Linked DNA regions of Macaca mulatta. The protein of the gene in region 2 purifies or fractionates together with the protein of the main gene of each other region. This does not show direct contact. Links are inferred from orthologs where the notes say so. Each region holds a gene or a part of one and is shown on either strand. Other genes may lie near its edges.

Region 1 (5,026 bases), on a different chromosome or scaffold from region 2:
TGAAAATTTAGGAAGCCACTGAGTGAATAAATACATTCATTTGTAATAAATAAGTGATACAGAAATCAAACCATTTTTGGGTGAAATATACTAGCTAGATATAATTATTCCCTTTAATTAGTCCTTGAAGCTTGTCCTAATGCCAATGTTTTGAGAAAATACTAACACTAGGAAATTTATGACTGCAAATGCCAAAAAAAATGAAGTGAAATTATATTGAATTTTTAAAAGATTTCATGTTTAGAACAAGAGATAATATCAGGGTCCTGCTCTGCTTTAGACAGGAGATCTGAAAATACTGTGGATGCCCCAGCAAAAAGACTATGTCAAAGTACATTAAATTCTTAAGCAAAAGGCAAGAATCAAATCTCAAGCATCTGGAGAGGTAGTAAAATAACTGAAGATATGTAGGATAAAGAAGAAAGAGGCAAAACAGGAGCAGAACAACTAGAGCCTTTAAATAAATACCTGGACAGCAATCAGAAAAGGAACTAGCATTGTTTTAGTTGGTCCTAAGAGAACAAGTTACCAATGGATTAAAAGTACAAAAAAACAGACTTTGGTTTAAAAGTAACTCTCTGTTAGCTCAAAAGTCAATAAATATTAACAGTGCGTGAAGGATAAATTTACATAAAATAGCAAAAAAATGAATCCAAGAAACTTGGGCATACCAAATGAACCTTTGACAAAAGTTTAGGCGCACATAATCCATGACACTAATCCATTAAGATTAGTGATAGGCCAGGCATGGTGGCTCATGACTGTAATCCCAGCACTTTGGGAGGCCAAGGTAGGAGGACTGCCTGAGTCCAGGAGTTCAAGACCAGCCTGGGCAACAAAGCGAGACCTCGTCTCTAAAAAAAAATAATAATAATATTAATAATGATATTAGTGATGGGTTATATTACAATAAGTAAAACCAACTTCCAATTATTTATAATAGAAAGGAAGGCCAGGCACAGTGGCTCACACGTGTAATCCCAGGACTTTGGGAGGCAGAGGTGGGTGGATCATTTAAACTCTGGAGTTCAAGACCAGCCTGGGCAATGTAGTAAAACATTGTCTCTACCAAAAATACAAAAAAATTAGCCAGACCTGGCAGTGCACACCCATGGTACCAGTTACTCAGGAGGCTAAGGTGGGAGGATTGCTTGAGCCTAAGAGGGAGAGGCTGCAGTGGGCTGAGATCATGCCACTGCACTTCAGCCTGGGCAACAGAGTGAGACCCTGTCTCAAAAAAGAAAGGAAAAAGAAAGAAAGAAAAGAAAAAAAGACACAAAGTATGGATAATTCTGAAAGTTATATTTTATAAAGAATAATCTATCCATGATGATTAAGCTACTGCAGAACTGCAGTGAGAAAAGGTGATGGGCTGTCCTAGGTGGTGGCAAGGGAAAAAGGAGTGAAAGGATTTCAGGAACATTTCAGAGATGGAGCTCATAGTACCTGATGATTTATTAGAGACTCTTGGAATACAGTATTAGTAGGATCTACTGTGTCAGTTTAGCTATTTATCCATTAACAATAACAACAGTACCCCCTCTTTTCCTTTCTCCGCCATCGTGGTGTGTTCTTGCTTCCACTTCTCGCCATGTCTTCTCACAAGACTTTCAGGATTAAGCGATTCCTGGCCAAGAAACAAAAGCAAAATCGTCCCATTCCCCAGTGGATTCGGATGAAAACTGGAAATAAAATAAGGTACAACTCCAAAAGGAGACATTGGAGAAGAACCAAGCTGGGTCTATAAGGAATTGCACATGAGATGGCACATATATTTGTGCTGTCTGAAGGTCACGATCACATTACCATATCAAACTGAAAATGTCACCACTCTCTGGAGAGTTCGACGTATTTTCCTCTCTGAATCTATTATGAATGCATTGGTTGGCTGGGTTCAGTAATAAATATGTGAGGACTTTCATTCCAAAAAAAGAAAAAAAAACAATAACAACAGTAGGAAACACATACTGCTTACCATAGGTCAGGCAATATTGTAAACATTTTACATAGATTAACTCATTTCATTCTCACAACACTATGAAGTATATTTATAACCATCCCCATTTTAGAGATGATAACCTAAGGCTTACATCAGTTAGGTGAGCCAATAAGTATCAAAGAATCAGTAAGCGGTTAGATACAAGATTTGAACCCAGATACTGTAATTCCAAAGCTAAAGCTCTTAATCGATCAACTAAATAGCTGTAAAGGAAAATAAACAAAGTCGAAAGAAGGCAGAATGTAGTAATGTCAAGAGCCCAGTTTAATGAAGAGCCTCAGTGGGGTAAGAGGATAGCAGTTTGGCTGCTCAAAATCACATGAGGTGTTCATAAAAAAAACTTAAATAAATAAATAAATAAAATAAATCCGTACTGAATCCAAATCCCTGCAGATAGGAGATAAGAATTAACTTTTTTTTCTTTTTTTTTCTTTTTTTTTTTTTTTTTTGAGACGGAGTCTTGCTCTGTGCCCCAGGCTGGAGTGCAGTGGCGCGATCTCGGCTCACTGCAAGCTCCGCCTCCCGGGTTCACGCCATTCTCCTGCCTCAGCCTCCCGAGTAGCTGGGACTACAGGCGCCCGCCACCTCGCCCGGCTAATTTTCTTGTATTTTTAGTAGAGACGGGGTTTCACCGTGTTAGCCAGGATGGTCTCGATCTCCTGACCTCGTGATCCGCCCGTCTCGGCCTCCCAAAGTGCTGGGATTACAGGCTTGAGCCACCGCGCCCGGCCTTTTTTTTTTTTTTTTTTAAAGCCCTGGGAAATTTTGTGGCGGAACCAAGTTTGAGAACCTGTGTAATAAAAGATTTCTAAGGGCTCTTCCTGCTTTAACATTCTAGTTGGCACTGTAAATGAATTTCCCAGAAATCAAAGGAGCGAGGGAGGGATCCTAGCTGCAGGAAAACGGCTATGCATTCAGAGTCTACACCGCTTATGCTCCCATTTTACTAAACGGTCCCTCATAGCGTGAAGGATAGAACAGGCAACGGTAGGAAGGATGTGGTGTCCACGACAAGCAGGCTAAAAAAGCAGACTTTTAAAAAGACTTTTCTAGCACGATTTGCAGAAAGAACCCTTTCGTGACTATATATATTTGTGGTCATCCGACTGGATTTTGAGGTGGATTCCTCAGATCCGTATCTGGCTAATGATGGATTTCAACATATTTTCTCTAAGCACCCCAAAGCGTTGCACGAAACCTCTAGGTTGGGGCCTGCCCCGAGGCCAGGTGAATCCGGCTCAGCAGCAGAGATGTCTGCAATTACACCCTCTAATCCCCTACTATCAGATATGACCCGTTCCGCACATACCTGAGGGTCCTCTGGTAAGATTGATCTCTTCCTCAGCGACCAAATAAACCACTCTTCCGTTCATGATTTACAGCTCGTCTGGCTTCCTACTCGGGTCAGCTGGAGTTCCGCACAGGAGAAGGTGAATCAATCTCGGCGCTGCTGCCCACAGCACAGCACTTTCGGTTTCAGCAGCCTCGAGACCCGGAAAAGGAAGCCCGAAGGACTCAGAGCGCTGGGAATGCTGGGAATCGTGGTTCCTGCCGCCAACGGATTGCAGTTTCTCACCAGTTCCCAAGGCCACGCATGAGGTGAGCAAGGGGCAAGTTATTCTAATTTGCCATTGGAAGGAGGTGGGAAGGGGTGGCTAGTAAAAGTAAGGGACCTAAATAAATTGATATTGTCGAGAAAAAATTTTTTAAAAAAATCCCCTGCCATCCTAGAAAATCTCCACAAATTTAGAAAAGAAAAAAAAGTTGTATTATTCTGTAAACATCGAACCAGACCGGAATGAGTGTCACAGGCAATCCACTAATGAGATTGCAAAGAGAGACAACAATATCACCTTTTATGTAGCTAAAGCACACGCACGTTCTCAAGTAAGACGAGTTAACATGGTTTGATATTCAATTTTTGGTAGTTCACCGTTGGAGTGGCCGTCTGTGTTGGTTAATTGCCTTTATCCAAAGGAAAAATAAAACGTTATCTCTGTGACAAACAGGTACTTACGGCTTGGAGCAAGTCGCTTAGGGTAACTCCCGCGAGCGTGGATCATAGGGGCACTGTCTACCTTGATAGTTACATTTCAAGGAGTTGGCTCCCGGGACCTGAAGAAAAAGATTCCTGGGTTCTATCTGACAAGAGGCTTATTTAGCTTTTAAAAAGTTACACACACACACACACACACGCACACACACACACGGATTATAATTAGAATTTGCTCAAGAAAATTTTTTAAGAAAGGGGACTAGGGGAATGGCTCATCCTTTTGGCAACTGGGAAAATTCAGTCTTTTTAATGTTTTAACTCTTACAATAAGGTTAACTCACGACTTAGGTATAACTTTAGGCCAGTCTTCCTGACTTTTGGAATGAGATATTCCAAACTGAACTTGAATGAAACTTCAGGGGTCAAAAACACAAAAGCCTAAAGAACCAGGAAGGTGACAACCTTGTGAAGCAACCTGGAGTTAGACCACAGCGATTGGTGGGGATCTTAGAGGAGTAGAAAGTGCAAGGCCAATATAAAGACATTCAAATTTATAGTAAAAAACCAAAGCAGCAGCAACTATGTTTACCAAACAGAAGGAGATAGGGGCAGATTCGGCAGGAAGGCCTCTTGTTTGCTCACTCTGAGAGAAGTAAAGATGGAATAGTGGAGGCTGGGCGCAGTGGTTCACGCCTGTAATCCCAGCACTTTGGGAGGCTAAGGTGGGTGGATCACCTGAGGTCAGAAGTTCAAGACCAGCCTGGTCAACATGGTGAAACCCCGTCTCTACTAAATATACAAAAAATTAGCTAGGCGTGGTGGCGGGCGCCTATAATCCCAGCTACTAGGGTGGCTGAGGCAGGAGAATTGCTTGAACCCCGGTGGTGGAGGTTGCAGTGAGCTGAGATTGTGCCATTGTGCTCCAGCCTGGGCAACAAGACCAAAACTTCGTCTCCAAAAAAAAAGATGGGGCAGTGGAAATAACACAGATTATGACTTACAACCTGGGCTCAAGTTTCCATTCCATTCCC
Region 2 (4,806 bases):
CACATCACCTACATAGCTGGGGATTGGTAAAGAAGAGAACCAAGAGGGTTAGTCCTTGGCTGAAGTTGCGGGGAAGGGGAGTGAAGTAGCCTGGACTGACCAGGACACATTGAAGGGGAAGCAGTAAGAGTGGTGAGTGGTATTACCTGATGTTCAAGTCCAGCAGGATCTGCTCTTTTCTCTGACCTGGGTGAACCTTGACTCCAATGATGCGCAATGGCTAGGGAGAGAGAAAGTCCTGAGACAGGGGAGGGAAAGGGAGAAGTACCTCAGTCTACTCTGGGTCATTCACCCTCCCTATCCCACCGCCTCACTTTTCCTCCTCCACACATACCTTTTCACCCAGTTCCACTCGTGTAAATGTAAATGTTTGCAGATGGGGGTTAGATCCCCTAACAGCCGGAGCCACAGTCTCAGCCAGAAGTTTCTCCATATACTGGCCCAGGAAGGGCCAGACCTGGGCCACAATCTGGAAGGAAAGAGAGATGGTCAGAGGAGAACCCAGTCTTCCCTCTCAAGGCAAGTTCCTTCAGAATCCCTACGGAGAGCACTGAGGGATGAGGGTGGGTCTGGCAAGAAGAAACAAATTCCCATTCTCCCCTCACGAAGACTAAAAATCAAATCAATCCTCACCTTATTGAGCCATTCAGCCTTTTCCACGTCTGGGAAGCTGACCTGGAGGTGGGGAAGGCAGAGACAGTGACGTGCACACCCTCGCCTCTGGTTTCCTACCAAGATGCTGGTGGTATGCCACAGAGGAGAGGGAGTGTGTAAGTGTGACAGACTCCTCACACTCAGGGTGGATGAGGGGCTGGGATGCCCCAAAGGTTCATTCCTCACAGAATTTGGGGGCTGAGATCTCTCTAATAAGGGGAGCTGACAGGGTAGAGGTCACATTGTTGCCCTGTGGGTAGCTCAGGGACGTGGTGAAATGACAGCTGCTGAGAGAGAGAAGAGCAGGAGGAGGAGAAGGGCACATTCTTTCTGGAGGGGGAGGCCCAGTCAAATCAAAGTTTCAGGGAATCCTGGGATTTAAAAAGTCCTGGTTCCAGGCTGGCCGCGGTAGCTCACATCTGTAATCTCAGCACTTTGGGAGGCCGAGGCTGGTGGATCACGAGGTCAGGAGTTCGACACCAGCCTGACCAGCATGGTGAAACCCCATCTCTACAAAAAATACAAAATTCGCTGGGCATGGTGGTGCATGCCTGTAATCCCAGCTACCCAGGAGGCTGAGGCAGGAGAATCGCTTGAACCGGGGAGGTGGAGGTTGCAGTGAGCCAAGTTCGGGCCACTGCATTCCAGCCTGGCAACAGAGTGAGAGACTCTGTCTAAAAAAAAAAAAAAAAAAAAAAAAAAAGTCCTGCCTTCTCAACTCCCTTCAGACCCGGCTTCTAGAGCAGGAAGGTGAAGAGGGAAGCAAGTCCTTCCTTGAGTCAGGGAGGGGCCAGAAGACCTAATTGGGCCTGGCTTTGTGGGTTTTTTGGGGTGTGTGTGTGCGTGTTTTTTTGTTTTTTTTTTCTTTTCCTCTATCTTTCTCTGTGTGACTCCTTTTAAGGGAAAGGACACCTGTGCTTTGTATTGGGGGTAGATTGGTTTCCATGATGACGGGGAGGAGACAAACACTTGCTGCCTAGGCTACAGGTCCCCTAGGGCCATTTCACCCTCTTTCTCCTCCCCTTTCCAGTCCAAGGCCTAGGAAGCTTGGCTGTATCTGCCTAGTGTCAATTTTGACTCCTCTCTGCTACCATTCTCCCCCTAGACTGGCACCTCTGCTGGGAGGGGCCGGGTAACGGGCTTTGCCTCTGCAAGGCTAAAGAGAAGGCATCCGCCTCAGCACAGCAGACTCGGCCGCCGCAGAAATAAGGGTCTCTGCCCCAACGGAACAAGCGCAGCCCACAGTCCGGAAACGGGTGTGGCCGGCCGAGGGGGTGGGGGGGAGTGTGGGCCGCGGGCACTGCAGCAGCCGCACCACCTCCTCCCGTACCCCGCCCTCCCTCCAGCAGCGGCCTCTGCCGCGCTGCAGCCTGGCGGCTGGAGGCCTGAAGGTGGCTGCCTGAGGGTCGTCCAGGGGCCGGGGCTGGGTTCCAGCGGATACCCGGGGATAAAAGCGAGAAAAGAGAGAACCGTAAGGCCTTAAGTAGGTAAAAAGTCTCGAGGAGCATAGCAAAGACTAGGGAAACCTTTGAGAGGTAACGGGACCAGGATTTCCAGGAGCAGCAAAGGCGCGAGTGGCACCAAAAGCAAGAGGGGCGTTGAAGATGGCTTGGCTAGGAGGGAGAGCTTCGGCTGAGACGGGGTCCCCAGATGTTATGACTGCTGTTGCCCAAGAGTAGAGGAAGAAGTCCTGATTCTGTGGAAGGATCCAGTCTGGGCGTAGGAAAGGGTGGGTGGGGAGAGTCAGCAGTCGGTCCCAAGAGTGGCGCGTCCAGCAGGCAGGCAGCTAGCGGGGAGAAAGGGGAAAGTCCGGGGCCCACTGTCCCAAGGCGGGGAGCTGACTCTAGGCATAAGGAGGAAAAGCCCCAGACGGAAGGAGTGGAAGGGGGCTATGCTGCACAGAGGACCGAGGGTGGTCGCTCACCCAGGCAGGTAGCTCTCGATGACTCATATAAAGAGTTTTCGCCGTGAGCTGCTCCTCGTCGTCCAGTAGCTGCCTCGCTGCTCGAAGGCTCCGTTCTTTCTCGTCGCGGACCCGGCGCCAGCCCAGGTAGAGGGCGAGGCCGAAGAGCACGAAACCCACGCTGAGTCCCACTGCCCCGGCCAAATACACCGGTATCAGCACCAGCAACCGCCTCCCGAACGAAGTCAGCACCGCCAGGGCCTCACCCGCCGCGCCAGGGCCAGCAGGTTGGCCTCCAGAACCTGGGTCTAGCTTTGCGTGAGCAGCGGGGGGCTGGTCAGTGGGGTCGGAGGGAGCAGAAGGCTGGTCCATGGGGCTGGGGCTGGGGCCCTCTCCTGGAGATCGCTCCATTGTGCCACCTCTGGGAGGATCCGCCCGACCCAGGGACTGGCTGGAGGTTGCCTAGTCCTGCGATCAGCTCCCCCCTCCAGTGGCAAAACGTGATCCCCGGGATGGAGGTGGGGGACTTCAAGCCACGCCCCTCCTGTCTGGCGATTTGGGTTGGTCCGCGCTGCACAGACCAAGGTGGAGTTAAAAGGTTGAAACTCCTCCCCTCTTCCGCGGGGAAGGCAGCGGGTTTCGGATAGGTAGGGCCTCCCTGATTGGGCCCGAAGGCCAAGATGGGAGGTCTGGGATGGCGGGAAAAGGAAGAAAGGGGCTCAGGGGCGGCATTGGATTGGTAATAAAGAGAAGGCGTGGTGCACCATTTCAGGAGAGGCGGGACCAAGAGCTCCCCCACGTGGGATTGGAGTCCCTGTGGTATGACGTCATGGAGAGCCGCACCGCCAATTTCTTGGTTTTGGAGAAAGCCCAAGTTGCCAAGTTGAGGGGTTGTGGAGCGTCAGGATTTCCCTCTACTCATTCGGACGGTTTGGCAGGATTTGGTCTGGGATATGTATATATTCTTTTGCCGACTTTTAGTTTTCATACTCTAAGCACATTCCTTATCCTTCCTTATCCTTTTCCTGCCTGCCTTTACAAAAGGAAAGGATACGATCGTATTTGGAATGAAAGTGTTTGAAGATTGACCCTGTCTATCCCGTCCCCAATCCCCTACCTTGTTTGTGTGGTGTAACGACTGACCCTGGAGAAAACTGGAGAGTCAGAGAATTACAGAGTTGAGATAATCCAGCCTTCAGGGAAAGTGGGGAAAAAAGCAGAGGAGTGAATAGAAAGTGAGGCTTTATTTCTTTTTGGAAATTTCCAAGAGTTAATAAGTCATCTCTATCATAGAGGATGGGTATAAGACTAGTTGGCTCCAAAAGGGAGGGAGGCAGCGCAAATTATTACATTTTCCAAGAATTTTCTGACCCTGAGGAACTTCTAGGACATTAAAATGAGGGATCAAGAGTGAGGGAAAGACAATTCCCTTTCACATTTGCCTGAGTTAGAAGGAAGGTTTGCCAGTCAGGTGCAGAACTAATGCAGTCCCACAGTGTACTGTGTAGGTTTAGGAAGGAAAAAGTGCGGGGTACACCGATGACTATTGTTACTAGTTAACTGGCCTTAGAGGTAGAGTGTTGTCCTGGGATCTAGGTACTAGGCTAACTGGACGTTGATGACGGAAGTGTTGGTCATAAGATGATTACCTTTTAATGCAGTATATGTGGGGCATATTACGTAAATCTGTCAGATGCAGCAGCAGAACTGGGGTTGATCATTGGGGAGAAACTAGCCATTTCTTAGAGGAAGTGTCTTACAGGATGAGGCCTGCAGCTGATAAATTTTATCTGGTTCTGCAGGGCATAGATTTAATCAGCCTGTGTTTACCAAAGCTGCTTAAAACCTGTCCCTGCCCAGCCTCTACCCCTTAAATTTTTTCACTTCCTTTTCTCTACTTCCCTAGGGCCAGTAGTATCTCAACTGCTTCACTCAGTTTGCAGAACTATTTAAGAAACAATATTCTCTCTCCTACATCCTCCATATTCCCAGAGGTGAGCAGGTAGAAAAGGAAACAAGGAACTTGGAGGAATTATGAGTGATCTGCTCACCAACTGATAAAGCAGAACTACAGCAGGAACATGGATGAAACTCCTGAGAGAGAAACCTCTCTATAAACTGAAATTTGCCAAGCACTGGAGTAGGGTAAGATGTTCCTGAGGGTGGGCGAATGGAGAGGATGACCTATGGATGTTCCTTTCCAAACTTCTCCCTTCCTCACCTCATCCAGATCATCAGAAATTATATAG

Evidence for each region. The genes of interacting proteins can lie anywhere in the genome.
Region 1: the proteins of ESYT1 (region 2) and SYNJ2BP purify together in Homo sapiens (affinity purification with mass spectrometry; 4 studies listed by BioGRID and IntAct, with this or other methods). This does not show direct contact. The link is inferred for Macaca mulatta from reciprocal best matches to the Homo sapiens genes ESYT1 and SYNJ2BP.

The regions. Positions count from the first base shown.
Region 1 is NC_133412.1:143,571,186-143,576,211, forward strand, and holds the start of SYNJ2BP (synaptojanin-2-binding protein), read right to left. Parts: upstream 3,461-5,026; 5' UTR 3,373-3,460; coding exon 3,309-3,372; intron 1,937-3,308; exon of another isoform or gene 1,748-1,936; coding exon of another isoform or gene 1,592-1,747; exon of another isoform or gene 1,541-1,591; intron 1-1,540. Other genes in the region: large ribosomal subunit protein eL39, read left to right, coding at 1,592-1,747. UniProt on the Homo sapiens protein: Regulates endocytosis of activin type 2 receptor kinases through the Ral/RALBP1-dependent pathway and may be involved in suppression of activin-induced signal transduction.
Region 2 is NC_133416.1:63,277,510-63,282,315, reverse strand, and holds the start of ESYT1 (extended synaptotagmin-1), read right to left. Parts: upstream 3,240-4,806; 5' UTR 2,969-3,239; coding exon 2,621-2,968; coding exon of another isoform or gene 2,579-2,620; intron 676-2,578; coding exon of another isoform or gene 634-675; intron 470-633; coding exon of another isoform or gene 428-469; coding exon 335-427; intron 221-334; coding exon 147-220; intron 17-146; coding exon 1-16. UniProt on the Homo sapiens protein: Binds calcium (via the C2 domains) and translocates to sites of contact between the endoplasmic reticulum and the cell membrane in response to increased cytosolic calcium levels.